Lytechinus pictus: one gene and its partners. Each later gene encodes a partner of the first gene's protein in a complex. Links are inferred from orthologs where the notes say so. Each region holds a gene or a part of one and is shown in the gene's direction. Other genes may lie near its edges.

Region 1 (10,774 bases):
GGGGGTGTACAATAACATGCAAATTGAAGCGATGGTCACTGTACACACATCTTACAACAATATCTTGTTCGAATCGATTCGATTACACGTGGGGCTGTCACCACGGTTACAGATGATATCATGAAACACAACTTTAGTTCACTGCAAGCAATAACCTATTAAAAGGAAAAGAGGGGTAAAATAACTATAATAATGGTAATAATATTAATGATAATACTTCTAATAAGTATAATTATGATAATTTCTTCTAAAGTGTACCACGATGAGGCAAATAAACTTTTCCAAACTGGACCTCTTTCTATAACTACTTCTCCTGGCATTCACGTGGTATCGGTTGATAATCCCCTTGGCTCTTCTGATCGATTTGTGATATGTATGTAGCTAACTACAAGCAAAACTGGCTGTACGAGAAAGCTGACTGGGATAGTCTGCGCTCGTTCCTGTTTCAAGCTGACTGGTCCTCCCTTTGAAAGTCACATAATGCTGATAGTGCTGATATCGCCTAGAACAGTTAGAAAGAAAACATTGGAGATGCAATGGACGTTTTAATTCACTACCATCCAGGACTATCGAACACACGTACTCGGATAAGCCATATGGTTCAATGGCAGATGTCATGACACTGTTATCCAAACAGAAGGCTTACAAACTGGCAAAAGAGCCATACAAGTCATCTTTGGCTCCTATTATTATGGAATCTAAATCTAGATGTCAGCGTACCATAATTATGCAGAGCACGTATAGTTCTCACAAAACCTAGAGCAGGAACTCAATTAAGCATGCCAGCAATAAGCAGTGGTGGAAACTGGTCAAATATGTAACTGCAAGCAACAAGTCATCTGCTGTCCCTCCACCGAAAGATGACAATGGCCGTGCAGATGTTACAAAGTTGAGCTCCTTATGCAGCACCTTCACTGCAAATGCGCATCTTGATGATAAGGGCCAAGTTTCTCCTATAAGCTGAAGTTGAAAACTGGTGAATCTGTCTCTACCATCAGCTTCTGGCCTAAGGTTATCCTCAAGAAACTACGAAATCTTGACATATCCAAGGCAACTGGTCCAGATGGCATCAGCCACCGTACTTAAGAACTGTGCACTTGAGCTTGCACCAGTTCTTTCAAAGCTATACCAGTTGTCCTTGAGCAGAAAAACCACACATTCAGAGTGGAAAACTGCCCATGTTGTAGATGAGCCCAAGAAATGGAACAGCTGTATATATGCATCGAACTACAGGCTAGAGCAGCTGTACTCGCACTTCTTGATAGGCAGCGGAAAGCGATCCGCCTCTAGAGAATTGAAGACAAACCAAGGTTTGCCTTTATCCACTTGAGCACCGGATAAATGTTGCATCTCTCTGAACATGTACCTTCTACCGTCACTTCTTCCTGAAACCATCCGATGAGTTGTCTGCATGGAACCCCCCCCCCCTTGGCCCCCAATGTCAGTTTGACACGCTCTACTGCAGCTGCCCATCCCTAAAGAGTCACTGTCCCAAAGTAAAACACTGTCTTGTCAAGGACAGCTCAGCTCTGGAACTCACTTCCTGTCAACACATTCATGGGCCACTTATTATTATTTTATGATCACAACATATCAGACCCAAAGAACTATAACAAAAAAATAATAATAAATAATAATAATGAAATAATTGAAAAAAAAACAATAATAATAGTAACTATAATAGTAATAATCATCATCATCATCAGTTAATATCTTATCTGTTTTGTCTTCCATGATTTGGAATAATAATAATAATAATATTCCGCATTTATATAGCGTTTAACACATCGGAACGACGTCTCTAAGCGCTTTACAGATATATTATTACCCCGGTCATCGGATCCTTGCATGCCCGCATACAATGTATGCACCTTCTCCACTCCCTGGGGAGCATTCCAACAAGAGTTCTAAGACTCAATTGCTAGGCATACTACATCGGCTTTCGCATCCTACCGGGTACCCATTTAACACCTGGGTGGAGAGTGGCAAATTGTGGATTGACGCCTTGCCAAAGGACGCTAGGCCATGGCGGGATTCGAACTCACGACCCTCTGATTACAAGGCGAGAGTCAGAACCGCTACACCACGGCGCTTCCACGGAATAGATCCCGTCATCTGATCATTTCATCTAAACATGACGACATCCCATATCTCATCACACTGATCATCTCTTCGAAGGGATACCACCATGAGATGCGATCCAAGAATTAACTCGTCATGTCATCTTTCGCTAAAACGATGTCGGCTTCCAAAGATGATTATTTCATATCTTGCTGGCACGTTTAGGTTATAAGATTTAATAGAACACTGTCTTTACAATCTAGAGAACTGCACGTTGCGATGTGTTGGACGTCACACAATAAAAAACTGTTTTTCATTCTGACGTATTTATACAAGCTCTTTAAGTCACTGAGGAGCGAAATCTGAAAATTGAGTTAATTGCCTTCTTCCCCATTAGGAATAGGTCTTAACCTGGAATGGAGCTTTTGGTTTTCTGCTGCGTACAAGGAAACGTCGTCTGTCGGGAATTTAGATACAATGGTAATGGATCATCTCGAGCAGTAGATAAAAGGTCTCTCGTTTTAGGCTTTCCCATGATGGAAATATTCACTTTTTAAAAAAAAAGGCACATAATTGGATGTAATCTTGTTTCCAAAGCATTGCACGACCTTCTATACAAAGGCAGTATTTCGGTTTGATTTACTAATCAATATTGTCATGGTTAATATCATATCAATTGTTTAAAATATTAAACTAACCAAATCAAATAAAATCAGATAAAAGTAAATTATCAACATTATTTTTTATGTACAGTAGTACACTAATATAGTCTCAACCTTTTGCTCTTTTAAATAACAATAGTGGAACGCCTCTGGCAGTCTCGCCTACGTTACGCGATTCAATATAGCAGCAGTGCTGACTTTGAAAAAACAACTATTGAATAATTATTCACAAAAAATAACATCCATATGATAATGAAATACTATGTTAATTGACCCTAAATTTATGTGACCTGAAACTCATACAGGATGTTCAAAGATACATGATTACCCTTATGTCCAATTAATTTTCATGAACTAAATCTATAAACTTTCAAAGTTAAGATGAAATTCAGCAAATACCCCAACAGGTTAAAGTTCTTTGACCCTAAATGACCTTTGACCTTGATCATGTGACGTGAAACTTGCAGAGGGGATGTTTGATAATACTTTATCAACTTTACATCCGTTACATACGTTATGCGATTCAATATAGCAGCAGTGCTGACTTTGAAAAACAACCATTGAATAATTATTCACAAAAAATAACATCCATATGATAATGAAATACTATGTTCATTGACCCTAAATTTATGTGACCTTAAATTCATGCAGGATGTTCAATGATACATAATTACCCTTGTCTAATTAATTTTCATGAACTAAATCTATAAACATTCAAAGTTATGATGAAATTTAGCACATACCCCAACATGGTTAAAGTTATTTGACCCTAAATGACCTTTGAGTTTGATCATGTGACCTGAAACATGCACAGGTCACAGGATGTTTGACAATACTCGATTACTCTTATGACCAGATTTCACGAACCAGATCCTTAAACTTCTACAGTTATGATGACATTAAAAAAATAAACATTCGTTAAGATTTCGGTGTTGATTCCCACATGGCCTAGGTTCATTGACCCTAAATGACCTTTGACCTTGATCATGTGACCTGAAATTCAGGCAGGATGTTTCGGAATACTTGATTAGTCCTACCGTTAAGTCCAATTGCTTCTTGAACTGGGTCCATATACTTCGTAAGACATGATGACATTTAAAAAAATAAGTAAGTTGGTTAAGATGTCAATGTTGGCCAGTGGCGTAATGAGCCAAATATTTTCAGGGGGCTCGAAATGGCGTATCGCGTAAAATTGATAATAAATTGCGAGCGATCTAAGCGAGTGAGAAAAAAAAATCGACATTTTTATTACAAAAATCCAAGTTTTGTGATAAATTGTTCACCATTATCCCTTACCTTTTCTCTTTTTCTTCTTGGTCGTGATTTTTTCTGCCCCCCTCTCCCACTGTTTGCACGCCCATCGACGCAGCCGCCGCCGTCGAAAAAGCGGCGCCTATAGTCTCGCTCTACTATGCAGGCGAGACAAAAGCTATATATAGATCGCCCATTCTTTATTTTTCATGAAAAAGCATTATTTTTTTTTTCATTGTTTTGTAACGTCTTTTAATCTACCTGTGTGATAACTGCGTGCGTTTCATTGCATTGCAATGACCTGCTTTCTTTTTAAAGAATATAGAAAATGATGACACAAGCAAACGGTTAAGCTGGCTCGTATTATTCAGATTTATTATTCGGATTTAAAAACTTTAGAAAAGTCTATCAACAAATGAATCCAGCGTGTTGATTGAAAATCATTATAAGTTGAAGATATACTTGATTATAAGAAACCACATAAGATCTCATTTGCCGCATGATGATATCTAGAAAAAAATATGGCAAAATGTTTGATGCATCCTGGAAAAAGAGTACAGAGAAAAACTCAATACTATTGTATTGAGGGAGAGTGGAAATACTCTCATTTATTTATTTCAATAATACATGTATATACATGTAAAAACATACAAATATCATACATTATTTTAAACATAAATATACAAATATAATCATGAAACATTAAGATGAGATTTGAAAAAAAAATAATGAAAGAAAATGGTATCCCAAAAAGCCTCAAAGCACTGGCGTAAATCCGTGTTGATGGGTGGGGGGGATGACTGAAATATTTTGGAATTTTTTGCAATCATGTTTTTAGATATGCAAGGAATTGTCATTGATATGTCCACAGTGGCGTACCGTGGGTCACGGCATTGGGGGAGGGGGGGGGGCACCAGCAACATTTTTGAATCACTGAGTGAGTGCGCTAAGCGCGCGCAGTTGCCAGTTATACTGACCTAATAGAGAAATTTTAAAGACAATGTCATTAAACGGATATGTATCTCACTAATCAAATAATGCGAGCGCGAAGCGCGAGCTGAAATTTTGTTATATTCACACCTAAAAAGGGACATTATAATCAAATTTGTGTAATCATGATAGGAACCTGTCTCGCTAAACAATGCGAGCGCGAAGCGCGAGCTGAAAACTTAGATAATTCAGACCTGAAGTGGGGCAATCTAAGGTTTCTTTGTAGGAATTAACTAGGACCATACGTATTTCATTAACCAAATGATGCGAGCGCGAAGCGCGAGCTGAAAATTTTTGATATTCAGATCAGAAGAAGGGACATTTTATGGACTGATTTTAGGAATTCATGAAGAGCAGACATATCTCACCAATCCACTAATGCGAACGTAATCACGGACAGGAAATGTTTCATATATACGAAGACCTTAACATGAGGCAATCACTTTTTGAGTCATGAAAAAGAAGCATATGTAACTACGTAAAACAACGATAACTCAAGTGCTAGGAAATATATTTGGTTTATATTGACTTGAAAACGAGATGTTTTAGTACAACAGGATTATATATCTCGTTAAACAGACAATGCGAGCACCAGGAACAATGAAGACGTAGGCCCTGGGCAAATTATGTTTCATAAAGTTATGATAAAAATGTTTCTTATGTATATATAATGTAACATAACATAATTATAATGTAATATAACATTATAATGAATAATATCTTCTTCTTTCCCACTTTGCTTCTCTTCCTTTCTCCCTATTGTCTCCTTTTCCCACTTTCCCCGTTTTTTATTTGGTCAGCCGATGGGGGGGGGGGGCCGGGGGGGGGGGTGTGCCCCCCATGCCCCCCGCGTAGTTACGCCACTGTATGTCCATATGGCAAATACCCTCCAATATTATTATCTTTTTTACCCCATGATGGTTAATGGTTTTATTAGAGATTACATTCAAAATGTTTTGACATTCCATCTTAATCCCTAATTCCCAAAGACCCCAACATTGATGAATTGGAAGAAACGGGGGTTTCTCTTCAATGTTATGATAAGGACATAAGTATTTCGTTTGGAAATGGTGAACTGGCTCTTTATTGTCATTTTATGATTCAATAATATTGTTTTATTTGTTAAGCGGTATTTTAGGAAGAATTTTCACCAATAAAACAATTATCTCTTGTGATTTTTTTTCATTTCTTTCGTAAAAACTGGGGGGGATGTTTGTACAGGCCATCCCCCCCTCCTCGAAAAGTGGGGGGGATATATCCCCCCCATCCCCCCCGGGATTTACGCCAGTGCCTCAAAGGCTTGCAAAAAGGGAAACCAAGAATGATCCCGCGGGTAAATCAAATACCCCAAATATGCGGCCGTATTATATTTGTGAAGCGATTTCAGCGAACCAACTGATGCAGTTCAACCTCAATCATCAAGGTGCAATTTCAGGTGAGGTGAAATACCCAAAAATATTTAGGATCTAGCGCCAGGGCTAGTAATATTATGCTAGGTGATGCCACCATCTCCGCCGCGAATCCGCCGTAATTGGAAACAGAAATGGAACATTTTAAAATATAATAAAGTGTAAACTCTAAACGAGTAAATGGCCACAAATATAGGTTAGGATACCTCATTATCATCAACGCATGCGAATATTACACGTACGGTACATATACAATTCATCACGATTCCGTGATACAGTAATTCGAAATGCACAAGACTAAAGAGGTATGGCAATTAGTTCCCCCAACAAGTCTGCGCAATTCTTGTAAAAGAAGAAATGCAACGAACACAAACGCTTGCAACACATAAGACAGATATTTATAAAGACAAAATGGTGGAAAAAGAATGAATTTTGGGCATTTTATATGAATCATAATATTGATGGCCTCATAAGTCATAATGCAGCCTTTACTTTTTAGTTTCTCTTCAAAATACCTGAATCGTGTGCAAAGTGAATGGGTGCGCAGACATGGGGGGGATGGGTGTCCGGACACTATTTTTTAAGCCTTTTTTTTTTTTTACTTTGGATTACACTAAAATATTATGAATTCAATAATACTAGTTGTCTTCTCTAATCTTGTTCTCTATAATTGCTACCATTTTGTATACCCAGTGGTTGTGTGTCCGGACGGGTTGGGTGTCCGGACACATGACTTTTACTCTCAATTTTGAAAAGTTTACAAGCAATGTCTTTAATTCTTTTTAGCACAGAATATAAGAAAATATTATAAAGAACAAATATTGATGGTGAAAAAAAACTATTCAACCTATATTTTTGGTTTATTCCTGAGATAAAAACAAGGCTTCATTTCTGTTACGTGTCCGGACACCCAACCCCCCATCCTACTAAAAATTGATGAAACTTTGCTTGTAAATTTTTCCAAATTATGACTTTCTAAAATTGATCGTCCTGACATAGCCTTGAGGACTCCCGGGGAGTGTTTCATCAACATTTTGGTCTGACAAGTTGTCAGATCTGACATCTTTCATTGATTCTGATTGGCTGAGAGGCACTATTACTATGGTAACTGTTGGAAATAAAATGGGACTTGATAAAACGTCTGACAAGTGAAACGCTTCCCAGGTCTGATATTTTTTTATGTATTTTGACATGTACTTCTACATGGAGCCTTGACACTCTTTCCATAGACGCTGCAGCGAGACCTACACGTCCAGATGGATTTCCCTAGGAAATCCATAGTTAGAGGGTGAAATTGGTTTGTAGGGGTGAATTTTATTTATCTATGAACCTTCATGCGCCTAAAGTGTATAAAGGGATAAAAATTATTTCACTATAAATGGTAAAAATGAGACGTTTCTTACCAGGCCGATCTCCTGTAGATCCCTCGATCCGTTTGTCAACAAAGCAAAGTCAATAGACCTGACCCTTGAACTGCTTCCTTATGACGTACATGTACATCCGAATAGCGATGCCGTTTTGAAGAACAATTTATAGAAAAAAAATATTTCACAAATTTCAAAATTTATTACCTGATTATAAATAATTATGTATTAGATTTTACTATTTGTGAAACAATAATTTTTATCTATAAATTGTCCTCAAGGCTAGTCCTGACACACAACAACTGGGTAGACCTCTATACCATTTTTTTTTTCAATCTGAAAATGACTGCCCGAGGTTTTTCCAAGACAATCCTATAGACCCCATTTCTTTCAATTTTTTATGAGATATTTGGTACACTTACGTACTCATAATATAAGGAACATTATTAACTTAAAAGATTTATTGAAATAAAAAGAAATTCATATTAAAAACTCAAGTCGTTAGGTGCGTAGACTTGGGGACCCAGGAAGACCCATAGCACATTGGTAGTATGAGGACTGTTTTTGCTAGTTATCATTCATGCCATGGTTGTAGTTCGGCCTAGTTATGACTTCTGTTAATGTTTTATCATCATAATTAGATCTAACAGATCTACATCTAGGCCTAGAACCCCCTAAGTCTTACTTAACTCTCCTTAATTTTTGTCGCTCACCCAGCCATGATTTGTATATGTTTTTACGTCTAACGTTAGATCTATATCTTTAATATTATTTTTCTGATCAAGCCAGGCATGGTCTTTTCTTGTTAAGCCTCTGTCTTTGTTTTACTTCTAGCCAAAGTCAGTTTAGATCACCTCGTTTCCCGTTTATCCCATCAAATATGTCTGGGTCAAATGTCAATCCATGTCAAATCAACTAGTGTTTGTCACCCGACCCCTCCGATTTTCTTTATACTCACACCAAATGTTCCCCCAAGTGTCTGACGGAAAATTCCGAAATATTTTGCCCCATGGTCAAATGGTTGCTAAGATACAGCCTTCCTTTCGCAACTGACAAAGGAATTAGTAGAACACCTAAATAGAGAAGAATGAAGATGACAAAAGAGAATGAGAGGAAAGGAATTCAGAGTGGAAAGAATGGATGGCAACTGAATATAATTATGAACTTACATAACCTAAGTTCAGACTGCAAGGGCAGTACTGACAGAAATGTAAATGAACTTAAGTCTGGACAGAACAGAAATGTAAAACTGCGTGGTGGCAAAGATAGCATGATAGGAGAAATAAACAAATAAGAAAATGCCAAAATAACTATCCTACACTAGTAATACATACAGTATCAGATGCTTAGTGATTGGTCTGAATTTGTGAGTATATGTAATGAGGATACATAGTGTATATTCACCACTATGATACACTCATTGCTATTTTTATTGTCCAGAGTGTGTTGGAGATGAAAAAAGAGTGTCATATGCTCTTCTTGCAGTTCCACCCTAACCTTAAGTTCAATAGCGAGAGTTGACCTACCCATGGGCTTCCCACAAGAAGGGACTTGGGGGTAATTTTTACAATTAATTTTTTATTCAAATATTGAAAGATGGGGCCTACATCCTAGGCAATCCAGCGATGCAAAAATTATTTCGAATTACAAGTAAAACTCAAAATATCAGCAAATTAAAAAGGGTATAATGAAAAAAATAATTGTGAAAATCATCCCTAAGTCCCTTTTTTACAGGAAGCCGACAAAATTTAATTTTAGAAAGTCAAAAGGGGCCTAAGCTTTCGATCCTAGCAGAATCTTCGTCGGAGGCAAAATTTAATTTTGTTAAGATTACACCTGTGAAGTTGAACTCCGAAATTAGCCATCTAACTCCAGTAGTCACTCAACATTAACACATTAATTGCTTTGCTTCTATTTAGACTGGGTGATTCATTAATTGAATGATTCTGACTCCACCCGACCAACCATGGATATCCTGGAAAGAATCTATCCCAAGGTTTCTCGTCTGGAAGACTTTCTTCAAGTTCTGGATGGATGTCCACCCCTCTACATCCCCAAAGACAAAGCTGGGTAAGGAATTTAAACTTGTTCAATGTTTCACAAATACAATAATAATAATAATTCATAATCACATTTTAAATTTTAGTATTTGTTAAATAATAATTTTTATCTATAAATTGTTCTTCAAAATGGCATTTTGTAACATCGCTAATCGAAGGTACGTCATAACGAAGCGGTTCAAGGGTCAGGCCTATTGTATTTGCTTTGTTGACAAACGGATTGAGGGATCTACACGAGATCGGTCTGGTAAGAAACCTCTCATTTTTGCCATTCATAGTGGAATAATTTTTATCCCTTCATACGCATTAGGCATTTGACGGTTCAAAGATCAGTAAAATTCACACTTATAAACCGATTTCACCCCGTAAATATGGATTTCCTAGGGAAATCCATCCGGGTGTGTAGGTCCCGCTTATGAATGTATGGAAAGAATTTCAAGGCTCCATGATGAAGAAATATTTGTCAAAATACTGAAAAATATTATCATGGAGTCCTCAAGGCTAGATTATTCATTTGAATTGTGTTTTTCATTTCCATCCACACAAAAATGCGTCCACGAATGACTGGTATATTTCAAAGTTTGCCAAGTTCATTGTACAACATCCTCTAAATATGCCCCAAATATGCATTCAAAGTAGAAATGCAACAAATACCTTCATAGAGTGTTCGTTCATTGATGTGCTATTCTAGTCACCTGGTCTATTCAATTTCTTCATCCTGCTATGTAAGGCATGCATTTGTAATATCTTGCTTTGAAATCTGCCTATCATTATGAAAGAAATGAATGGTCATTTGACCAAAATTGTCCATGAAGTAACTACGAACTGGTCTATTGGAGCAAATATCCCAAAAGAATTTGTGTGAAAAGTGGTGGCATATGGTACCCTGTTTAGTACCCCCTTCTCTCTGCCTACATGTTGGCCTATATGCTGGCCTGTCATCATGGCCACGCCTGTATGGGATGATTCTCAAGATT
Region 2 (9,748 bases), on another chromosome or scaffold:
GGTTGTTTCGAGGATTTCAATCAGGACAACTCTGCTTCAGAGGCATCACCAGGACAATGCCACTCCTGCAAAAGAGACTTCAGAATGTCAAAGGTCAAAGAGGACAGTTGAAGGAGACACGCAGAACCCTCGAGGAGCAAGGAATTAAATCGTTGTGCCCACTCACTAGATTAAGTTAACTGTTCCACACATTTATGCACATTCTCCACTTCCTAGGGGGCAAATATGGAAAAGTTTCTTGCCAAAAGACAAGTGTATACAGTATGCTGATCTATTCACCGCCTCATTGGCATCCTCCCTGGATAGAGAGTGGCAAATCTTGGCAATTGTCTTTCTGAAAGGCATGACGTTGGCATCCTACCATACCCGTGTTTGGAGAGTGGCAAATTTGGTTAATGTCTTTCCCAACAGCATTAGTGCCAAGTAGGATAGTTGAACCCCTGACCCTTTGTTTATGAGTCAAGGGACTCAACCACTACACCACTCCGGCACATGAATGCAATTAGAATGCAGTTAGTTTGCAAGCTCAGACTTTAAATTTGACTCTTTAATAAAGTAACACCATATCTACATGTAGGTTGGAGACTAAACTAAACTCCAAACCCTATGTGTGTGTCAAATAAGAAGCGGAAGCAGCTACAGTTTGTGAGTGAATTTTATCTCACTACTTCCAACTCTGCACTATGCATTTCATGCAAAAACCAAAGAATTGTTTCTGCAGACTACATCTCAATAGCATAGCATTATTTTTTTTGGTGAAAGATTTAGCCCAACATGGATGGTCCAACTCTGGAGACATACACAATCATCTAATGCACATGTGAATATATTTCCCGGGGGCCAGTCAAATTTATCGCTGTACACACGCATGACCAAAAAAACGTGTTTAAAGGGGATTTTTTTTCAGTTTTGGACACGGGCCATACGTGCACTTGTTAAGGGTATCAAAAACACCAATTTTCAAAAACTAAGGGGTAGCTTTGAAAGACTGGTCAATGGTCAATCGCAGGGTCAAACGGATTTAGGGTATGTTTTTTGTTTCCAAAGCTTTTTTTTTTAAGACTAGCCAAACCTGTTTAGGGTAGGGTTTTTTCCCCGGGGTCATATTCTGGCGACATTGTTAAGGGGTCAAAATGTGTAAATAAAGCCTGCGAAAACTTGTTTAGGGGGTTATTTTGCACACACAGAAAAACTCGTTTAGGGGGTGTTTGGAAATCTTTTGGCCACGCGTGTGTACAGCAACACATTTGACTTGCCCCCCCCCCCCCCCCCCGAGATATATTTATGAATATTTAGGAACCTTATTCCTTGATTTGATAAATTTAGAATTACTCTCGGCCAATATGCATTCTTTATACATAAAGAAGTACACTTAGCTTTCAGTTCTTGCCTCTAGAAGCAAATAATAATAGTTGGTGAAGAAGATGATGGGCAAACTATCATTTTCTACTATGCGATCTTCCTGTAGCTCAGTTGTGTACATCCAGCTCAACAAGGAATTGATAGTTTGTCTATTCACCTGAAACCAAGAGGTGATCAATTGCTTTATATTCCACACCTGACAGGCTGAAGCCATTGAACTATGCATGTATGGGAAGAAAACCATATTTATACTTCTTTACATTTTTACAAGAACGAATTATGGTGTAAAATCATTACTCTTGAATTTCTTTTGTATGTAATACTAAATTCTGCAAATTCAGGGTTATTATAGATGATGGTTAAGCTTTTCTCCAAACCACCATAAATTATGATAATGAAGATTGTGTATGTTCCATTGGGAATCAGACCTAGTTTTACATTATTAGAGAGAAAATTATTTGGCTATTTCAAGTAACAATTATTGTTAATTGTTAATTCATTGTTACTTCATTGATGACATGTGCAATGTCTTGTAGAATTGAAATAAACTTGAAATAAACACTTGAAATAAACTTGAAAAATTAAGAGATATAGTGGCAGTGTGTAGTACATCAGCTCTCTCATGTGCACTGCATATCACTGTTTTGTGAAGGTAATTCAGATGTCATAACTTTACGGTATTTGACAGCCGATTTTGATGAAGTTTTCAGCAACATGCTGGGAACTTTGAAATCCACTGTTTTGCTTTCCCCAGCTTTTCTGGGGACTGAAGTGCAATATAGATATTCAAGAAGTATTTACTATTTACATATCGTTTGAACGCATACAATAATAATTGTATCAGAGTATATGCTATATGATTGCTTACTGTTTTTGTCTCACCTGCATAGCAGAGTGAGACTATAGGCGCCGCTTTTCCGACGGCGACGGCGGCGGCGGCGTCAACACCAAATCTTAACCTGAGGTTAAGTTTTTGAAATGACAGCATAACTTAGAAAGTATATGGACCTAGTTCATGAAACTTGGCCATAAGGTTAATCAAGTATTACTGAACATCCTGCCTGAGTTTCATGTCACATGACCAAGGTCAAAGGTCATTTAGGGTCAATGAACTTAGACCATGTTGGGGGAATCAACATCAAAATCTTAACCTAAGGTTAAGTTTTTGAAATGTCATCATAACTTAAAAAATATATGGACCTAGTTCATGAAACTTATACATAAGGTTAATCAAGTATCACTGAACATCCTGCATGAGTTTCACATCACATGACCAAGGTCAAAGGTCATTTAGGGTCAATGAACTTTGGCCGAATTGGGGGTATCTGTTGAATTACCATCATAACTTTGAAAGTTTATGGATCTGATTCATGAAACTTGGACATAATAGTAATCAAGTATTACTGAACATCCTGTGCAAGTTTCAGGTCACATGATCAAGGTCAAAGGTCATTTAGGGTCAATGAACTTTGGCCAAATTGGGGTATTTGTTGAATTACAGCCATAAATTTGAAAGTGTGTTGGTCTAGTTCATAAAACTTGGACATAATAGTAATCAAGTATCACTGAACATCCTGTGCGAGTTTCAGGTCACATGATCAAGGTCAAAGGTCATGTAAGGTCAAAGAACTTTGGCCACGTTGGGGGTATTTGTTGAATTGCCATCATATCTCTATAAGTGTATTGGTCTAGTTCATAAAACTTGGAAATAAGAGTAACCAAGTATCACTGAACATCTTGTGCGAGTTATAGTAGTTTTCAAAATCAGCACTGCTGCTATATTGAATCGCGTGATGCAGGTGAGACGGCCAGAGGCATTCCACTTGTTGTTATTTTATACAGATCATCTTTTACTATTGAAATATTTTTTTATCATTACATTTTGTGTTTTTTTTTTTTCATTATTTATTTCTAAATAAATTATATCTTTGAAATTAAACTTTGTGTCTCGTTTATTTTTCATGTTGTTATGTCCATCTCTGTGTTTGATGGGCCATAGATCTTGTCCCCGTGACACAAAACGATTAGCAATTAATGGCTAAATGAAATGGCCTATCAAGATCATCCTAGTATGAGCATTTTGCTCAGTAGACTGACTAGGAACCAATCAGAATTGCTCTTTCAAATTAGCAATTGAACGCTAACCTTTGTGCTACAGGGCACTGGTAAATATTACTTGGTCTGTGCACATTTTGTCTTCTACTCTCATCCCACATGGTCTAATCATAGTTTGTCTATGCACAACCAGGAGGGTGTTTCACAAAAATTTAAGTATTGCTTTGCAGTATCAAAGGCATCACTGCATTATCAGGCAAAGAGGACACACGCTACTGCGTAAAAATCAATATGATTGCATGTGCTGTTACATCATTTTCCGAATTGGTAATTAAGCATGACTCTAAATCCTTATGCAAAAAAAGAGGAAAAGAAATTTAGGGACTAGCTCACTAGTGTACGAATGGCATATTCCCATCATGCTAACTTATAAAGGAGGGGGGGGGGCACACTTGTGTGAGAACGGCATATTTACATTAAAAATATTGACTATATGACTCTCGAAGGAGTGCATGGGCCTGATGTACCCCCCCCCCCCTGGATCCGCCACTGAGCTTCACACATTTTACCTATCCACTTGTTCTAACACTGTCTATATCAGGGGTTCTCAAACTTTTTTTGTGAAGGGCCAGATGAGACTCCAAGTATACCTGAAAGGGCCAGGGTGAAGTGGATACTTAGAAAAAAATGTGCGCGAAGCGCAAAGACCCTATTGCGGCCGGGGTCCTAGATGCTCTCTTGTGCAATCTGGCCGTTGTCTTATTTTGGGAGCATTTAATCCAACAAATTTATAACAGTTTCATATGGAACGCAGGCAAAATTAGAAAAGATTTCAAAATACAGCGAGAGTCAATATTGATAACAAAATTGTAGTACTTTGTTAAAAGGAATCTAGATTGTATACCTTTACATACCTGGTATTGGGGAGTTAGATAATGTCTTAATTGAAGTATCAATATTTTTTGTAGTCAAAGTAGAATGAATAATAGAGCATGTCTGTTGTAGACTTTCACAAGGATGTCAGTCTCCTATAGTCACTTTCAATATGGGAAAAGTGACAGTCTGTCAGCAACAAGTTGCTTGAACCTTGACACAAAAGGTGTAATTGCCAGACGAAGGCACTGGTGCAAAATTAATGTTCACTGGTCAAGCAGGGGCCGCGGAAGCGGGGGGGGGGGGGGGGCTTCACCCAAAACCATGTGTACAAAAACGTAAAAATTACCATATGATTGTGATTTTTTGCATGGCCAGCCCCCCCCCCCCCCCCACTTTCAAAACCGTTCCGCGGCCCCTGTCAAGGTACTTCGGTATGAATTAATTCTTTAAAATGTTCATTGTGGAAAATGCACTTTCGCACCTGTATGTAGATCCAAACATGGTGAGAACAGCGCTCTAGTCATCTAATAATTAGAAAGTAGATCGAACAGACAGCTGCTCCACTAAACTTTGTTTAAATGTCAAATTAATTTGACTGCCATTACTTTTATTACGGTTAGGTCTACAACTATACACAATGTAATCATATTGAGCTATGTTTCATATTGTGACTTAATTAAAAGTGATTAAAAAAAACCCAGCAGAGTCTCGCGGGCCGGATTGAGAAGCTTCGCGGGCCGTAGTTGAACTGTTTATGAACCAATTTTTTTTCTTTGACATTGTGCAAAAGGTTTAATCGGGGTTGTCAATTTTTTTTCTTCAAAAAATTATATTTTAGTTCATTTTTTCTGTATGATTCTTGCCAAAAAAAATGAGTAATCAGTCCGCTTCTCACTAGTTGTCTACTACAGACTATGCCTGTGCCTCTCGATCCGTCTTCCACCCGAGTCTAATATAAATTCCTCTGTTCACCCTTCTCTCATACCATCTTCTTTTCCCTCTTACTTATTTCTGTATTCTCTTTCATCTTATCTCATAATCTCTTCTCTATAAAGTCTAATTATTTTTCTTTTAGGTGCTTCTCCCTATAGTCTTGAGGACGCAATGATGATGACTTTTAAAATCCTGTCATATATATACTTCTTCATCATTATGACATGATTTTAAAAGTCATCATCATTGCGTCCTCAAGACTACTTCTCTCCCCCCCCCCCCTTTCTCTCCCTTTCTCTCTAATCATATTTTATGAATGTGAGTCAATGGTAGACTTGTTCTTACTGTGGGTCGATGTTTTGGAAAGAAGTGGTCGCATTGCATTGTGAGGACGAAGTAACATATTGTTTGGAACCGAGACACGTGGGTGCTAGCTTAGGTTGACTTTGTGATACTGTCGTGTCGTAAAACCCACTATTTCTGCCTTTCAAAGTAAATTGGCGTAAGTGCACAAGGTTAGTATGGTTCGAAATAAATATCCCCATTTATAATTAATATTCATTTTGTTAACAGTCTTCCCAAATTTTTTATTAAAGATAAAACATTTGAGCATTGCTCCGGCCTGCGGATACGGTAATTCCATTCTGCTCGGACCGGCCCGAGCGGGGAGCTTCCCACTCCCAAACACGGAGGCTCCTCGCGGTGAGTTCGCTAGCTATCGCCGTTCGGCGGGTCCGGTGCTAATGCAGTTTCGCACCTGCCGACTTTGACTTTGTCTTTGAGAGAATTTCCCCACCAATAGATAGGGACAATGATTTTCCTGTTTCTAAAAATTGCCTCTTCCGGTTTAGAAAAATCTTAAACATTTCAAATTCTGTTTCAGCAGGACAAAACGTAACCCAGGGAGGGAGCCCAGGCATGCCAGGGCAGGAGCTAGGAGCATGAGGAGCTTACCGTGTATTTGACCATAGTCACCGGACTAGGGTGATTTATGGTCTAAATATTTCTCCAAATTAATTGTGAAAACAGAAAGTATACAATTGAATTACCACGATTATATGGATGAAGGTCTAAGTACGAGTGGCAGTTTCCTGACATCTGGGCACAAACTGGAACCTAAAAAAAACGGAAAAGTTCTCTCCTACCCCCGTCTCGATCGGCCATTTTTGTTAAAAATCGTAACAAAATGGCCGATCGAGACTGGGGTAGAGGAGAGAACTTTTCGTTTTTTTTGAGGTTCCAGTCTGTGCCCAGATGTCAGGAAACTGCCACTCGTTAGACCTTCATCCATATAATCGTGGTAGGTATACTTTCTGTTTTCACAATTCATTTGGAGAAATATTTAGACCATAAATCACCCTAGTTCGGTGACTATGGTCAAATACACGGTAAGCTCCTAGGCTCCCGCCCGTGCAGCGGGCGGGAGCTTCCTGGGTTAGACGAAACGGAAATTCTGTTTTTGTGTATATGGAAAATTGACGATTCCGTTAAACGGAATTGCCAATGGCAATGACTAAATTAGTAATGAGTCGCGAGGTCAAAATTTGTATCTGCCACTGTACTAACATTGCTTTAAAATCAATTTTAATTGAAGAGATTCGAGTAGATCTACAAAAACTATTATTATTAAGAAAAATCATTAGACCCTAACTGAGATTTTATTGCTGATTTGGGGAATTTTTGGACATAGGTTTGACTTTGAGCAGTCAACGACTTTCGCCTAATTGCCATTTTGGATTTGTGGAATACCGCGATCATGATAATAAGACCGAAGTCCGAACGCAGACATGGCAGAGCCAGAGGGCAGCAACATGGCCGTGTTTCTGCCTTAATACTGGCTTTATGCTGTCGTGAGTGTAAACTAATTTCGAGTGCAGTCACGATGTGTGGATTGTCATGATTGTTGTAGCGAAGTAAGATAATAATAATGATTGATAGGCATTTATATAGCGCCATCTATCTAGAAATAATCTATTCATACTCATACTCGTACTGTCATAGGCGCATTGTTTATTAATATTACCTCGTCCTCGGCTTTACTCCTTTTTAGGCTTTAGATCGTGTGTTTTTCCAGTTGATATTTGTATTTCGTTGAGAATTTGGGAGTAATTTCTGTTGCTATTCTGTGCATTTAGAGAAAAAATATGTTTTCCGTGATTTTTCGTTTGAAAAGCCATTTTCCGTTTCAAAAGGTTGATTCCGTGAATTACGTCCGTTTTCCGCAATAGCGGAAAGTCATTGTTAACAATAACATATTTCATATAGCAAGTCTCTCAATCACATTTTAAGATAATATATACCCACCACTTTACCGAATGTCGGGAACGGTTATATTTCGGGCCTTTCGGCTTCGATCTCGATGTCATATGACATTTGCGAACAATTACTGGTGGGAAGTTCTCTCGAAGTTGGTTCGAAACTTAATTAGCGCCGCGGGGCCGGCGTTGAATTTGATCCGGGCTGTAGTGTAATTCATAGTTAACTTCGTGATGCTGAATTTTCTGATCGATCATACACAGTAATCAATGCAATCCATTGTAATCAGCCCATGGTTGATCATCTTGCTAAACCAGAAAAAAAGGAAGAAGACTAGCTCTAGACTCTAGTCTAAAATTATTTTTAATGTGTCATTGTGTGTGTGTGTTGGCCCCATTTTCAATGCGTTGCTGCAGATATCTGTTCCGTGATGCAGTATGGCAGGGTGAAAGAATCCTCTATTCCCCCCTCCGAGGTCCTGTGTCGTAACCAGCTAGCGCTATATTTCGCCCATTAACACTAATATTTTAACAGAAATTCTTTTCACCATTTCTTTTGCAAAATGCTACATCAAAGGGTTTTTTAAGATCAGCAAGGAAAATGTGCTGATGGCATGATTAACGCTTTCATCTTGGCTATTTGTCATGGAAAGCAGCCATGTAGTACTCGGCTTGGCCAGGATGGTTTCAATTGGCTCGCTGGTATGGTGATCGGCCAAAAAGTCGTGCAAATTGTTTTCCTATTTATAGTACTGATGATTAATGTTTCTGTGTGTCTTTATGTTTTTAGTCTGCACCAAATTTTTTTGTCTGTACATTCTTATCAAGACTTGGGATGTTAGTCCAGGATAGGCCCCATAGAAACTTGACCAAACCTCGTTTTTTTATATATACAATATTTTTTGATGGTTTCTTGTCAATTCGAGGGTGCTGATTACGAATCTGGATGATGCCACTCTTGTAACCTTGAGCATTTTCCGCAAATTGGCAAAATCCAATATGGCCGCCAAAATATGCAAATTACCCATGAAAATCATAAAATTTTCCGCACATGGGCTATGAAATCGTGTGGCAGGAGTGAAATACTTTCTGAAAAAATAATTTTTTACAAAATATTTATTTTCCTGATATTCAAAATGGCCGCCATATGCCATTGTATAAAGGTACTCTATTATGTACAATATTAGTAGGGAAAACTAATTTTCACAAAAATGAGCACTAAACCGCAAAAAATCGATGTATGAACGAAGTAATATATGCAAATCATCATTACTAACGAGATATATCATTTATTATGTCATATATGGGAACATTGCTGTATTTTGATATGTAAAATAGCTGCCACTGGCCAAAATAGTATTATGTACAATGGCTATGGCCGGGGCCAAAAAAATGACAAGAGTGATCACTAAAATGCATATTATTAAGATAAACGAGTGGACTACTGACTAAAAACATCATTGTTAATAGCCATTTATGTGATAAATGCTTTATTTTGAAATTCAAAATGGCCGCCATAGGCCCTATATTTATAATGTACAATGCGAATGGAGAAACTAATTTTCACACGAGTAAGAAACATAAAATGCATGTAATATACGAGTAAAGTATTGTCTGACAACATGTTTTATAGCAAGACATATCATTTCTTTAGTCATGCATGAGATAAATGCTGTATTATGAAATTCAAAATGGTCCCTTTAGGTCCTAACAGTATTATCTACAATGTGAATGGGACATATAATTTTGTAAGAATTTGGATTTGCTTGACTATGACATCCATATAATCCTGTTGTATGAGTAAAATGTTATTTGAAAACACATATTTTCTTTAATTATAGCATTTCTTCTGCCATATAGGTGATAAATACTGTATTTTGACATTCAAAATAACCTCTACAAGCCCTAACTAAATTATGTAACATGCGAATAGGGAAAATGCATATAACTGTGATGTACGAGTAAAAATATTGTCTTAAACATGATTTCTAACTAAATACATCACATATTGGTCGTGGAAGTAATAAATGCTGTACTTTGATATCCAAAATGGCTGCCATAGGTCCCAAAAGTATTGTGTACATTGTAACATGGGACATATAATTTTGACGGAATTTGGCTTTGCTTGACTCTAAATATTGCATATAATTGTGAGTTGTGATGTAAGGGTGAAATATTGTCTAAAACCATGGTTTCTAACAAGATATATCATAATGTTGTGTAATTAAGGTGATAAATGCTGCATTTTTAAATTAAAAATGGCCACC
Region 3 (10,724 bases), about 1.4 Mb from region 1:
CTGAAGATGATGAGTTAATGTCCATTAGCATACGGGTTGACTTTCATGTGCGCGTTTTCCTCTTGAAATCAATGGGAATATAGGGGACATTTAGTATGCCCCCTATATATATCAAACATAATTATATATGGCTTCCCCACCCAGGAAAAACAAAATCGGGGGGGGGGGGTGGGGGGTGTATGATGACCATGCTTCTCTGTGCGTATCACAATAAGGAAAACGCATAATAATATGGGCCAGTGGCGTACAAATGGGGCGCTTCCCCACCACCCACCCCCCCCCCCCCCCAAAAAAAAAAAAGGACAGAGAGAAGGGTGAAATAATATACGAATATTATCTTTAACTTTATCACAAAATTTGATTTTTGTAAGAAAATTTCGAAATATTTATTTTGTTCGCACGCATTTTTTTTTTATTTTAAATTTTGCCCATTACACCATATCTCGCCCCCTTAAATTTTGGGGCTTATTATACGCCATTTATATGGGCCCAACACTGAGTGAGCACAATCGCCACGATTATCAAGAAGTTATTATACGAAACGCTTTGTAATCCCATGCACTGCTGCTGATGAGCGATGAGTAATTGAATTATCGAAAAGATAATTAACATTTTGAGGATGTTATTGTTCTTTCTTTGTTTGTGTCCACTATGGGTCATTTATGCACACAATGTAATTGTTGGCCACGGAATAACTTGGAAAACGCTATCATCACGGGGTTCTACAGAACGACACAAAGGTCCTCCGAGGAGGAAAAGCCCAAGAACAAACATTATTTCCAAACAATACAATAAGCCCACTTGTCATTGGACACCTTATACGCCTACTGGTTATTTACACAACGATATCAGCCAATCAGACGCCGGGTTCTTTATTGTGAGGTCAGACCCTAAGTATGCCAGGAATGTCTGCGAACTGTGTATAAGCTGGACTCGTCAACTTTGACCCTCAAAAGAATATTAGAAGATTGAATCGTGTCTGACTTTGAATGGGGTTTATACAAATTCGTTCACTATTTGATGGAAAAAAAAAGCTTGGAAGTTGTCTTATTTTTTGTGGACAACGCCCCCTCGAATTCAAAACAAACTTGGAGATAATTGTAAAACATACACCGATGCTCTCAAATTGAAAAACTTTGAAGAAGAAAAAAAGTGGGCCTCTTATTGTCTGCTTAGTTCAATTCCCGTTCTTTTGTCAAATGAACTGTAAGCTCTGGAAGAAATGAATAAAGAATAAAGGCCTAACCAAGCTATTTATTTAAATAATATTATACTTTGAATGAGTAACACTCACTACTAACAAAATTGACAAAAGTTGGGCAATTATTTTGAACAAATATGTTGACAACCTGGTCATTTGTTTTTCGGTATCTTGGTAAACTCTCAGTTTGGCTTGACCAATAAGGCCTAATTCAAGTGGAACATTGGTTTACCTGAGTAGTATGGGGAAGCAGAGTACCCACCCCCACAATAACTTCGATAGCCCCTTCTGCAGTTCTCACAATGCCCCCCCCCCCCCCCACTCTCCACGATTTTTGTTTTCGTTCGCTCAATTCGCTCGCTCGCCATGTTGTGCCCCTTGGTTCTTTACGCCACTGCCCTCTTACCCGGTTCTCTTTCTTTCATTTTTTTACCATTCTATCCTCATTTTCGATTACCCCCATGCACCCCCATCCCTCCCTTGAAGGGGGCATAATGATTTATTATTTCTTGGGCTTATCCCCTGTTCTTCAATTACTAGTATTTTTAATGGAGATGGTTTGTTTAACATTATTTTCCATTCACCTGTGTAACCTTTTCCGGATTCTTTCTTCTATCATAACGCAGATTTTCCAGGATATTCCATCCTCTTTACAAACAAGATAATTTTCGGTTACTAATATTTACTTTGTTTGTTTATTTTCTTGGTTAGCTATTTGTAATTTTGGCGTATCAATATTCATTGTGGATGTTCCCCTTCCATATCCAGCGTTGTTCAATGGGGGGTCCACATATAATGCCCGATCAGCTGTTTGAATACTGTTGAATAGCCAAAGTTTTTCTAAATAATTTCTTTTAAATACATTGGACTTTAATTTTAGGAACAATATTAGGTTTCGCTTTAAGCATGAATAACGCAAGCCGAAAAAGCGCAATCTAAATTTCGTTACTATGAAGAGGGCATTTGATAACCAGATAAACAGTTCGATCTGAAATCTTTGAAATACTCACCTGAAAATGGCATATTTTAAGGACCATCAATAAGAATACACAAAAGTAATTCTCTTAAAGCAAACTAAATGCGAGTGCGAAGCGCCAGGTCGAGCTGCTGTGTACATTGATATAAAACATTCAATCACTTTTATTGTAAGCTTGAATACGATATACATCTCTCTAAAAATAATGCAAACGAACAAAAAATAAATAAGTAAAAAAAAAATAGGTAGGGGGCAGACATGGCGCACCGAGGAATTTCATAGAAAGCTGCGAGCGAGCAAAAGTTTTGAACTTTTTATTTTTTGTGATAGATTTTGACTAGGGTCCTATGCTCCCTCCCCGCAGCCCCACCCCCTGTATACGCCAGTGCTTAAAGGAGCAGTACTTGTCCCAGTTGAATGTGGAATAAAATGTATTGAGTCATTCAATTTGGAAAATTATATTACCAGATATGGAGAAAGCAAGGGAGAGGGTATAGGGATTTGGGTGAACCCGTTTATTTTAACGAAAATTGAAGCACGGCACTTAACATGATAACAGGTTATCACTTTAATCAGATCGAGGTCATTAATTATTGTGACTTCATTATACAGGATATTGGTTTCCACTCGATATACTTTTGAAAAGTCAGAGAATATATATTTTCAAAATCGAATCCCATGTAGGTGAAAACCAAAAATCACCCATCAAAACCTACTCCCGTTTCAATCGTCTATGATCTACAAAATCATATATAATCGGGAAGTGAATTTGAGTTGATAGCCCATATCTATCCATATCGTATATCAGAGCCAAAATAAATCTACCCAAACCAAGAACATATTGCCTGAAAAGATAAATGAAATATCTAGAAACACCCAGTATCGTAATGAGTAAAAAAAATTGAAGGAGGCTAGGCGTGGTTTGGTGTAAAGTTTTTAGAGCTGTGAGCGAAGCGAGCTAGCAAAGATTTTGACCCTTTTAATACAAAAATCTTATTTTGTGATAGACTTTGACACGATAATTAGAAAGTAATTTCATATTTTACACATTTTCTTTCATTCTCTTTCGCCCCCTTTTTTTCTTGATCGTGAAAATTTGTTGGGGTCCATCCCCTATCTGTATATAGGCCAGTGGAAACACCATGGCTTGTAATGCACATCCGTCTCACATAAATTTATCATTTTTTGAAACTTAAATTGCTGAACTGTCACACACAGACTCCTACATTCCAACCTTATCCCTGTATAAATTTAACCGAACCTTTGCATTTATATATTATTATTTTTTGTTGTTCTTGAATCTGGCCCTAGCCTAGTTCAACAAATCCTTGCAGTGCGCTTTGCGCGCCAAATAAGTAACTCATTTTTCCCCGTGCCCCCATATTACGATCCATGGTTCCCCATTGAATATTGTATATCTTTGAAGAGATGATCGAATTCGTGACAACAAAACGATGGCGTACATAACCTTCAGACACCCCCCCCCAAAAAAAAAAAATAAATAAATAAAAGTGACTCATCAATGATGTGGCTTAAAGCGAAGAGGCGCTATCTTTTACAGTGCGCGCTTGCGAAATTTCTTCTATCAAATTAATGACCTTATGTTTCTCAAATCTCCTGAAATATAAGGCCTTATCTACTGAAAATAATGATGAAAAATTAAAGTGATATGATAAAATAAATTGTATTGGTTCATATATTCCCTTTTTAGTGAGAGCGCCAATAAAAACCAATCAACATCAAAAAATAAATGAATAGACAAAAAATAAATAAATGAATAAAAAATATAATAAGAAGAAAACAAGTAATATTTGACACTAAAACATGGCTTGAATAGCTTCTCAAATAATCTTAGGCGAGACAAGCTATTTAAAATAGACTGACTCAGAGTTAGATGCATGGGAACACAGTTGGGCTTTTCGGCTAGAATTAGTGACGCAAATCAAATGAGATGGCGCTGCGTATGATACATCTTCATGGCAATGATGATGACGGAGATGATGATTATGGTGGTGGTGGTGATGATGATGAAGATGATGGTGGTGGTGGTGGTGGTGATGATGATGGTGGTGGTGATGATGATGGTGATGGTGGTGATGATGATGATGATGATGATGATGATGGTGGTGATGATGATGATGATGGTGATGATGATGATGATGATGATGATGATGATGGTGGTGGTGGTGGTGGTGGGGTGGTGATGATGATGATGGTGGTGGTGATGATGATGATGATGATGGTGATGATGATGATGATGATGATGGTGATGGTGGTGGTGATGGGGTAGTGATGATGTGGTGATGGTGGTGGTGGTGGGGTGATGATGATGATGATGTGGTGATGGTGGTGATGATGATGATGATGGTGATGATGATGATGATGGTGATGGTGGTGGTGGTGGTGGTGGTGGTGGTGGTGGTGATGGTGATGATGATGGTGGTGGTGGTGGTGGTGATGATGTTGATGATGGTGATGATGATGGTGATGGTGGTGGTGGTGGTGGGGTGGTGGTGATGATGATGTGGTGATGGTGGTGGTGATGATGACAATGATAATGATGATGATGACGGTGATGATGATTATGGTGGTGGTGGTGATGATGCTGATGATGATGATTGAATAAGCGATTATACAACGGTGTGCTGATTTATCTCTTCTCTTGTATTCCAGATTTGAAAAATTTTAGCAAAAAAAAGTAAAATGTCAACCTCTGGGGTTTGGACGATACGAAAAAAACAAACTTATACTGCCCAAAATTACCTTTCTCTCCCTTCTTCATTCTTTATTCTCTTTTCTCCCCCCCCCCCATTTCCTCCTATTTTTACTATTTGAAAAAAAAATGGGGGGAGGGGTGTGCATGGCACTGGGAAGCGGGGGTGCTCAACACCGGCCCGCAAGATTTCGCAGCACCCCTGGAAAATAATGTGGTTGGTATAATATTAAGCTTCATTCTGGAATGAACCCCTCTTCCTTTTGTTTGTTCTTTTAATTGCTTGTCAAATTTTCCTTGATCAAAATCATTTACATTTTGGAGTGACAGTCGTTTTTTTTTACTTGTCAAATATTTCTTTTAAATGCTAGCACCCCTTCTTAGACTCATTCCAAGGCTCTTGGGGCGTCGTCCTCTGTCCCACATGACACTCGCAATCTGCTAAGCATTTTTTTTTTGAAAAAAAACAATTGTCTCGTTTGAGGAGTGAGAGATGAAGGGGTATGTGAGCAGCATGAGGAACTTCTTGGAGTTTAAACCGGGTTAAAACAGTCAGATCCTCAAAGGTAAATCCAATTAAGGACCCTTCAGGCTTGTTCATTCCCCCCTTGCATATTACAATGTCACTGTCCATTACTCATATACAGTGGAAAGCTGATGATTAGGATGCGACAAAGAGATTAAAGTTTGCTGCAATCAGCTGAGCATTAATGTCCGATTGGACAATAATTTCATTTCCTTTCCAGACCATTCATTTTATATATGATTTCTTTTACCATCCCCCAAAAAATTGAATGCACTTATCAGAACATCAGTTAGTGTATTTATTATCATACTTAAAAAAAAATCTTTGATCTGCCTTTTAGGATTTCACATTCAAGCAAACTCAGTCATACATCTATTCTTTATGAAGTGAGATAATAAGTGTATTACACAATGGAGAGCATGGCATTTTCCTCATCCTTCATGATCGAAACCCTTTTTTCTGTAAAATTTATATGTAAATTTATCAATTTTTCATTATATTTTTTTCGTTTTCGCGTTTTTTTGTTTTGTTTTGTTTTGTTTGTTTGTTTGATTATTATTATTGTTTTTTTTTGGGGGGATGACGTCTTATTTTACACTCCCATGCCCCGCTTTGTGCAGTTATTGCCCGTGTGACAATCTGATTTCGTTTTTCTTTTTGCTATTGCTAACTTACAAACAAATATTCCTCCAAGAGCGTTGGACGTTTTGACGACACCGTAATTGAACACCTTGTCTGACTTGGTAAGTTTAATGATATAAATTTATGATATTTACATAGCAAACGTACTAAAATTTAGTGTTTCATGCGAGGAGATTGCGTTAAGTGAATTTGTGTGGTGAATCAAATGGATTTAAAGCTACTCATATATTGTTTTTCGAGCCATGTGACAATTTTCCTGCAGATCTCTTTCTCACCTCAGTCCCATTCGTCTTCGTTGGTGTAAGTTCGTGGCGAGTGAGGCCTGGGGCTGGGGTGCTAATGCAGTTTCGCACCGGCCGACTTTGATCAAATTTCCCCACCAGAAATTGTTCGCAAATGTCATGGCAAGTCTCTTGGTCACATTTCGAGGCCAATAAACAATACACATTTCCACCGTTTTTCAAATATCGTGATCAGGAATGGCTGTACTTCGCTTTGGCTCCGATCTCTAGAGTCTAGACTATATTATATTACTACGGCATATTACTATTAGTATTACTGTATTAGTATTAGCATGATTAGTAAGTACGTCATCAAACTTCTCAATCTCAGTCAGACATCGCTTTTCTTGGCTTCGTTGTAATTTTGATAAAGACTGAAGTTAGCAACAAAGATTGAACTGCGGCAACTCACTCGTTTGCTCGCCAAATGTTTGCACAGTTTTGGTTATTAACTTCAGTCCATATTAAAATTATGGCATAGCCACGGCAATGCGAAGCGTTCACGATCGTGATAATATTCAGAAAAGCGGTGGCCTTGGGTGAGCATATGGGCGTGGTATATCCCTACAGAGTTATACAAGACACAACTTGAATCCCACCCATGGGTGCATTACTGCCGCCGTGCACGGTAAAATCTAGACCAAAAGCTTCGGTCTCTGTTATGTTGGTTGTTCAGCTGAACTCCGTTGGCTTCACTCACCAAATACAGAGACCGAAGTTCTAGCGCGATCTGTACAGGGGACTCAATGGCCATATGTTTATGTGTATTAAGTTCGGATAATACAGGGCAGTGAAGTTGCGCGACAGCCGAGGTAAGTCACTGTTTTTGTTCCTTTTAACTTGCTTTTCCCCGTTTTTTGGCAATTAATGCCAAGAGGGAATATTAATTTGCATTTCGGTCGCGGTAATTTTCAAAAGTTTGATTCATTAAAGACAAAAATTGAAGAGCCCCGACGGGGGGATTTTGCATTGTAAGTCCCCTAATGGTGGCTGCACGATAGCGAGCCGTCTGTGTATGAGGAGAAATAAAATAAAAAAAATGTTAAAAAAACTCCTCGAAACAGACGGCTGCCAGCTGTCTAGGTAAAATCAAGGCACGATGCATGCAACTCTCTATGAGCTGATCCTTCCACAGAATACATTTAATTAGTAGAGTAAAACAATTTTGTGATATTAATGCTTAGTTCTAAGCTAGGGCGGCCCGAATGCGCGTGAATCGAGTCCCAGTTTCCTAACACGGGTAAGTATAGGGGTGTTACCGATTGGGGTCAAACGCGGTTCGGTGTACGAGGTTAGTATAGCATACTCATACTTACTAACCTCGTACTAGTATGAGTACTTTAATCCTTGCTTGCTGCCTGGAGATGGTGTACCAACCTCAAATTCAGTGTTTATTTGCATGAATAATTTGTTGAACAGTAAGTGTTCAACTTAGATAATTTGTATACAAAAAATACATGAATATAAAAGGCTTTCAAATTAAATTGAAAATGAGCTTCTATTCATGAATAAACATTACTTTTTCTAAAGGCTTAAACATTCAGAGTAAATCAACTGAGCCATGGAATCAACATGAAGAAAAGAACATTGCAAATAGTATTGTATAAGGAATGCAAAGCAGGAGATGAAATGATGGCACTGAAGAGGGAATGTGAAGCATGAGATAAGAATGTAAATCAATGGCAAAAAGAAGCTGCTGAAAACTGCTTATCTAATAAAAGAGAGCCAATGGAGTAAATTATAAAGTCAAAAGGGGGCCTAAGCTTTCGATCCTAGCAGAATCTTCGTCGGAGGCAAAATGACAAACATATAAAGTGGAACAACCATAATATAGACCACAAACAAGCTACAGCAACACTAGAAACAAGGAGACAAAAGGGGCATTAGTGAGTAGAGAAGACCAATCAGGTTAGTGAAGGGGATGAAAGAAAAGGAGTAGGCAGACACAAAGGGAAGTTAGTGTAAGTAAGGCCAAGAGGGATTAAGATAATGAGGCAGGCAACATCAAACAGGATCTGGAACAAAACAGTGATAGAGGGATGAATAACTAGAGAATTGGTGAGAGGTGGGTCAAACAGGTTACAAAGAAAGGCTTAATAAACTGGTGCATAAGAGTGGGGGGAAAAAAGAAGAAAAAGAATGGGGAACAACTGATAATGTGCAAAAGACATATAAGTATATATGATAAAGCATTAAACAAACTAAGAGAAGAAGGTAAGTGTAAATATGTATCTATAAGTGATATGTATATAAATATATCCAAAAAAGAAATGTATATGAAAAAATATATAAATATATACACATATGGTGTAACTGATATGGTAATCCGCTAGGTGTGACGGGAAAAAACATAAGACTATATAGTAGGAAAGAAAAAAAATCTGTATATGTGAAAAAGAGGAAGCAAATTGCCTAAAAAGGTAAAAGCAAATATAGAGGAGAGGGGGTGTATTATGAAGAAACCATAGTATACATGTAAATAAGCAAATGTGGTAAATCTAAAAGAGGTGAGTGGAGAAAAAACAAATATATATATATATATATATATATATATATATAATAATAATTATATCGCCTGAATAAGGAAGGAAAAATTGGAGCTGAGCTTGTATGAGATATGGGAGGAAAGTAGAGTAAGAAACTATAATGTAACTATTCAAAAGAGCTGAGGGGAAAAATTATATGTATATATAAATTGAAAGTGGATAGGAAAGAAAAATCAGTCGTTCCCCTCTTGGATGTTCAGGCCATGAGGTTGGGTGGTGCGAAGTCGTCTCATCCAGAGCTTCTCCCTGCTAGTACGGACTGAGTCAGGACGGGTACCTAAAGATTCGATGCCCTGTAGCATCATGTCAGTGATGGAGTGGTTGGGGAGGTTAAAATGGATGTAAATCATGAGATGAATATAGGAGTCAATGTAGAAGTGGTGAGATAAAAGGAAATGTAACATCAAAGGAAATAGAAACAATCTATGCATTGTGTTAAAAATAAACGCCTGCAAATGATAGACTCCTACACTATGATATTCACACAAAAAACTTACTGCTGGGAAATTTGCTTGAAGTTGGCTGGTGCAAAACTGCATTAGCATGAGGCCTTGTTATGAAACAGGGTCTTTGCCAATGAGGCTTTGTTTTTGAACATGTATATTGTCCCACCGCACCCACTCCCACCGCAGCACTAGCGTCCTTTGGCAAGGTGTTATCTACATTTACCACTCTCGACCCAGGTGTAGTAAATGGGTACATGGTAGGAAGAAATTCCTTGAATGCTCGATGCGCCCAATCAGGGTAACCGGTGTAATAGTACGCAGTGCTAAGAAACATTTGTATTTAAAGTGCTATATAAATGTTGCATATTATTATTGTTATTGTCCTTACTCCTATAAAATATTCTGTAATCTGAAATAAGTGAATAGTATGTCTCTAACCAAATTTGTTTTTTTCACCTAGCTAACATGTCACTCCCTGTCCAAATTGCTATAGAAATAACCTTGCAGACTCTAATGTGTATAGATAGACTGGACCACATGGCTTAGAATGCAAAGCCAATGAATGTTGTCTAGTTTACGTACTCGGGGAACTCAGCCTTAGGGGGTAACCATTGGTAGACTCTATGTAGTCTATATTTTAATCATTTGCATTGATTGATTCTTTACTCATCTCTGTAATCTTGAAATTTTTTGGTGGAGATTTTTACCTGATTGCTAAGAAGGCATGAATGCTTGTAAGCAAGCAACCAGAGGACCGATGGCTCAAGGTCCTCACCGAGGGACCTGGTAATAAGGATTAATGCCTTACCAAAGGGCACTAGCGCACCAAGTGGGAATTGAACCCGGGTCATCAGAATCCGAAACCCCTGCTCTACCGACTGAGCTATTATGCCTCCTGACCCCTGTCCGACACAAAAAGTAAAAAGAAAATATTGAAGATTGTTGCTATTAAGCTAGAGATCATTAATGGCATGCACAAGACACAATACTTTTGGTTTGTAATATATGAATGATGCGTGGTATTGAGATGGGGACTACTTATCTATCTTTCCCAATCTCAGTGTCCTGCATATTCTTAAAGATACTTGATATCATAAATATAAAGCATTGTCTCTGAAAATATTCTTATCTATCATTTTATCATTTTATGCTATCTTGTCTTTCACAGTAATTATCGAACATGTATCAGGATGTCGTGAATCACTAGTGTGGAGTACAAATATCAGATGCCACATTGCTGTAAGCTTCAATACCTAGGCTAGTCAAACGAGGACTTGACACACTCTCTGTCCGACTACAAGCACAATGTCTCTTCCTGATGTTGGAGATACTGGTCAGCGAGATGCGCTTTCAGAAACAATCAGCAAATTCTTGGCAGAGGAATCAGAAAGAC

What was found.
Region 2: telomerase reverse transcriptase-like (region 1) and H/ACA ribonucleoprotein complex subunit 1-like share a complex: the UniProt entries of both Homo sapiens proteins name them as parts of the telomerase holoenzyme complex. The link is inferred for Lytechinus pictus from reciprocal best matches to the Homo sapiens genes TERT and GAR1.
Region 3: telomerase reverse transcriptase-like (region 1) and telomerase Cajal body protein 1-like share a complex: the UniProt entries of both Homo sapiens proteins name them as parts of the telomerase holoenzyme complex. The link is inferred for Lytechinus pictus from reciprocal best matches to the Homo sapiens genes TERT and WRAP53.

What each region holds. Positions count from the first base shown.
Region 1 is NC_087260.1:22,796,321-22,807,094, forward strand, and holds the start of telomerase reverse transcriptase-like, read left to right. Parts: upstream 1-6,157; 5' UTR 6,158-6,399; intron 6,400-9,656; 5' UTR 9,657-9,703; coding exon 9,704-9,807; intron 9,808-10,774. UniProt on the Homo sapiens protein: Telomerase is a ribonucleoprotein enzyme essential for the replication of chromosome termini in most eukaryotes. Active in progenitor and cancer cells. Inactive, or very low activity, in normal somatic cells.
Region 2 is NC_087262.1:10,786,373-10,796,120, forward strand, and holds the start of H/ACA ribonucleoprotein complex subunit 1-like, read left to right. Parts: upstream 1-5,405; 5' UTR 5,406-5,741; intron 5,742-9,748. UniProt on the Homo sapiens protein: Required for ribosome biogenesis and telomere maintenance. Part of the H/ACA small nucleolar ribonucleoprotein (H/ACA snoRNP) complex, which catalyzes pseudouridylation of rRNA.
Region 3 is NC_087260.1:24,210,395-24,221,118, reverse strand, and holds the start of telomerase Cajal body protein 1-like, read left to right. Parts: upstream 1-6,086; 5' UTR 6,087-6,159; intron 6,160-10,499; 5' UTR 10,500-10,636; coding exon 10,637-10,724. UniProt on the Homo sapiens protein: RNA chaperone that plays a key role in telomere maintenance and RNA localization to Cajal bodies. Specifically recognizes and binds the Cajal body box (CAB box) present in both small Cajal body RNAs (scaRNAs) and telomerase RNA template component (TERC).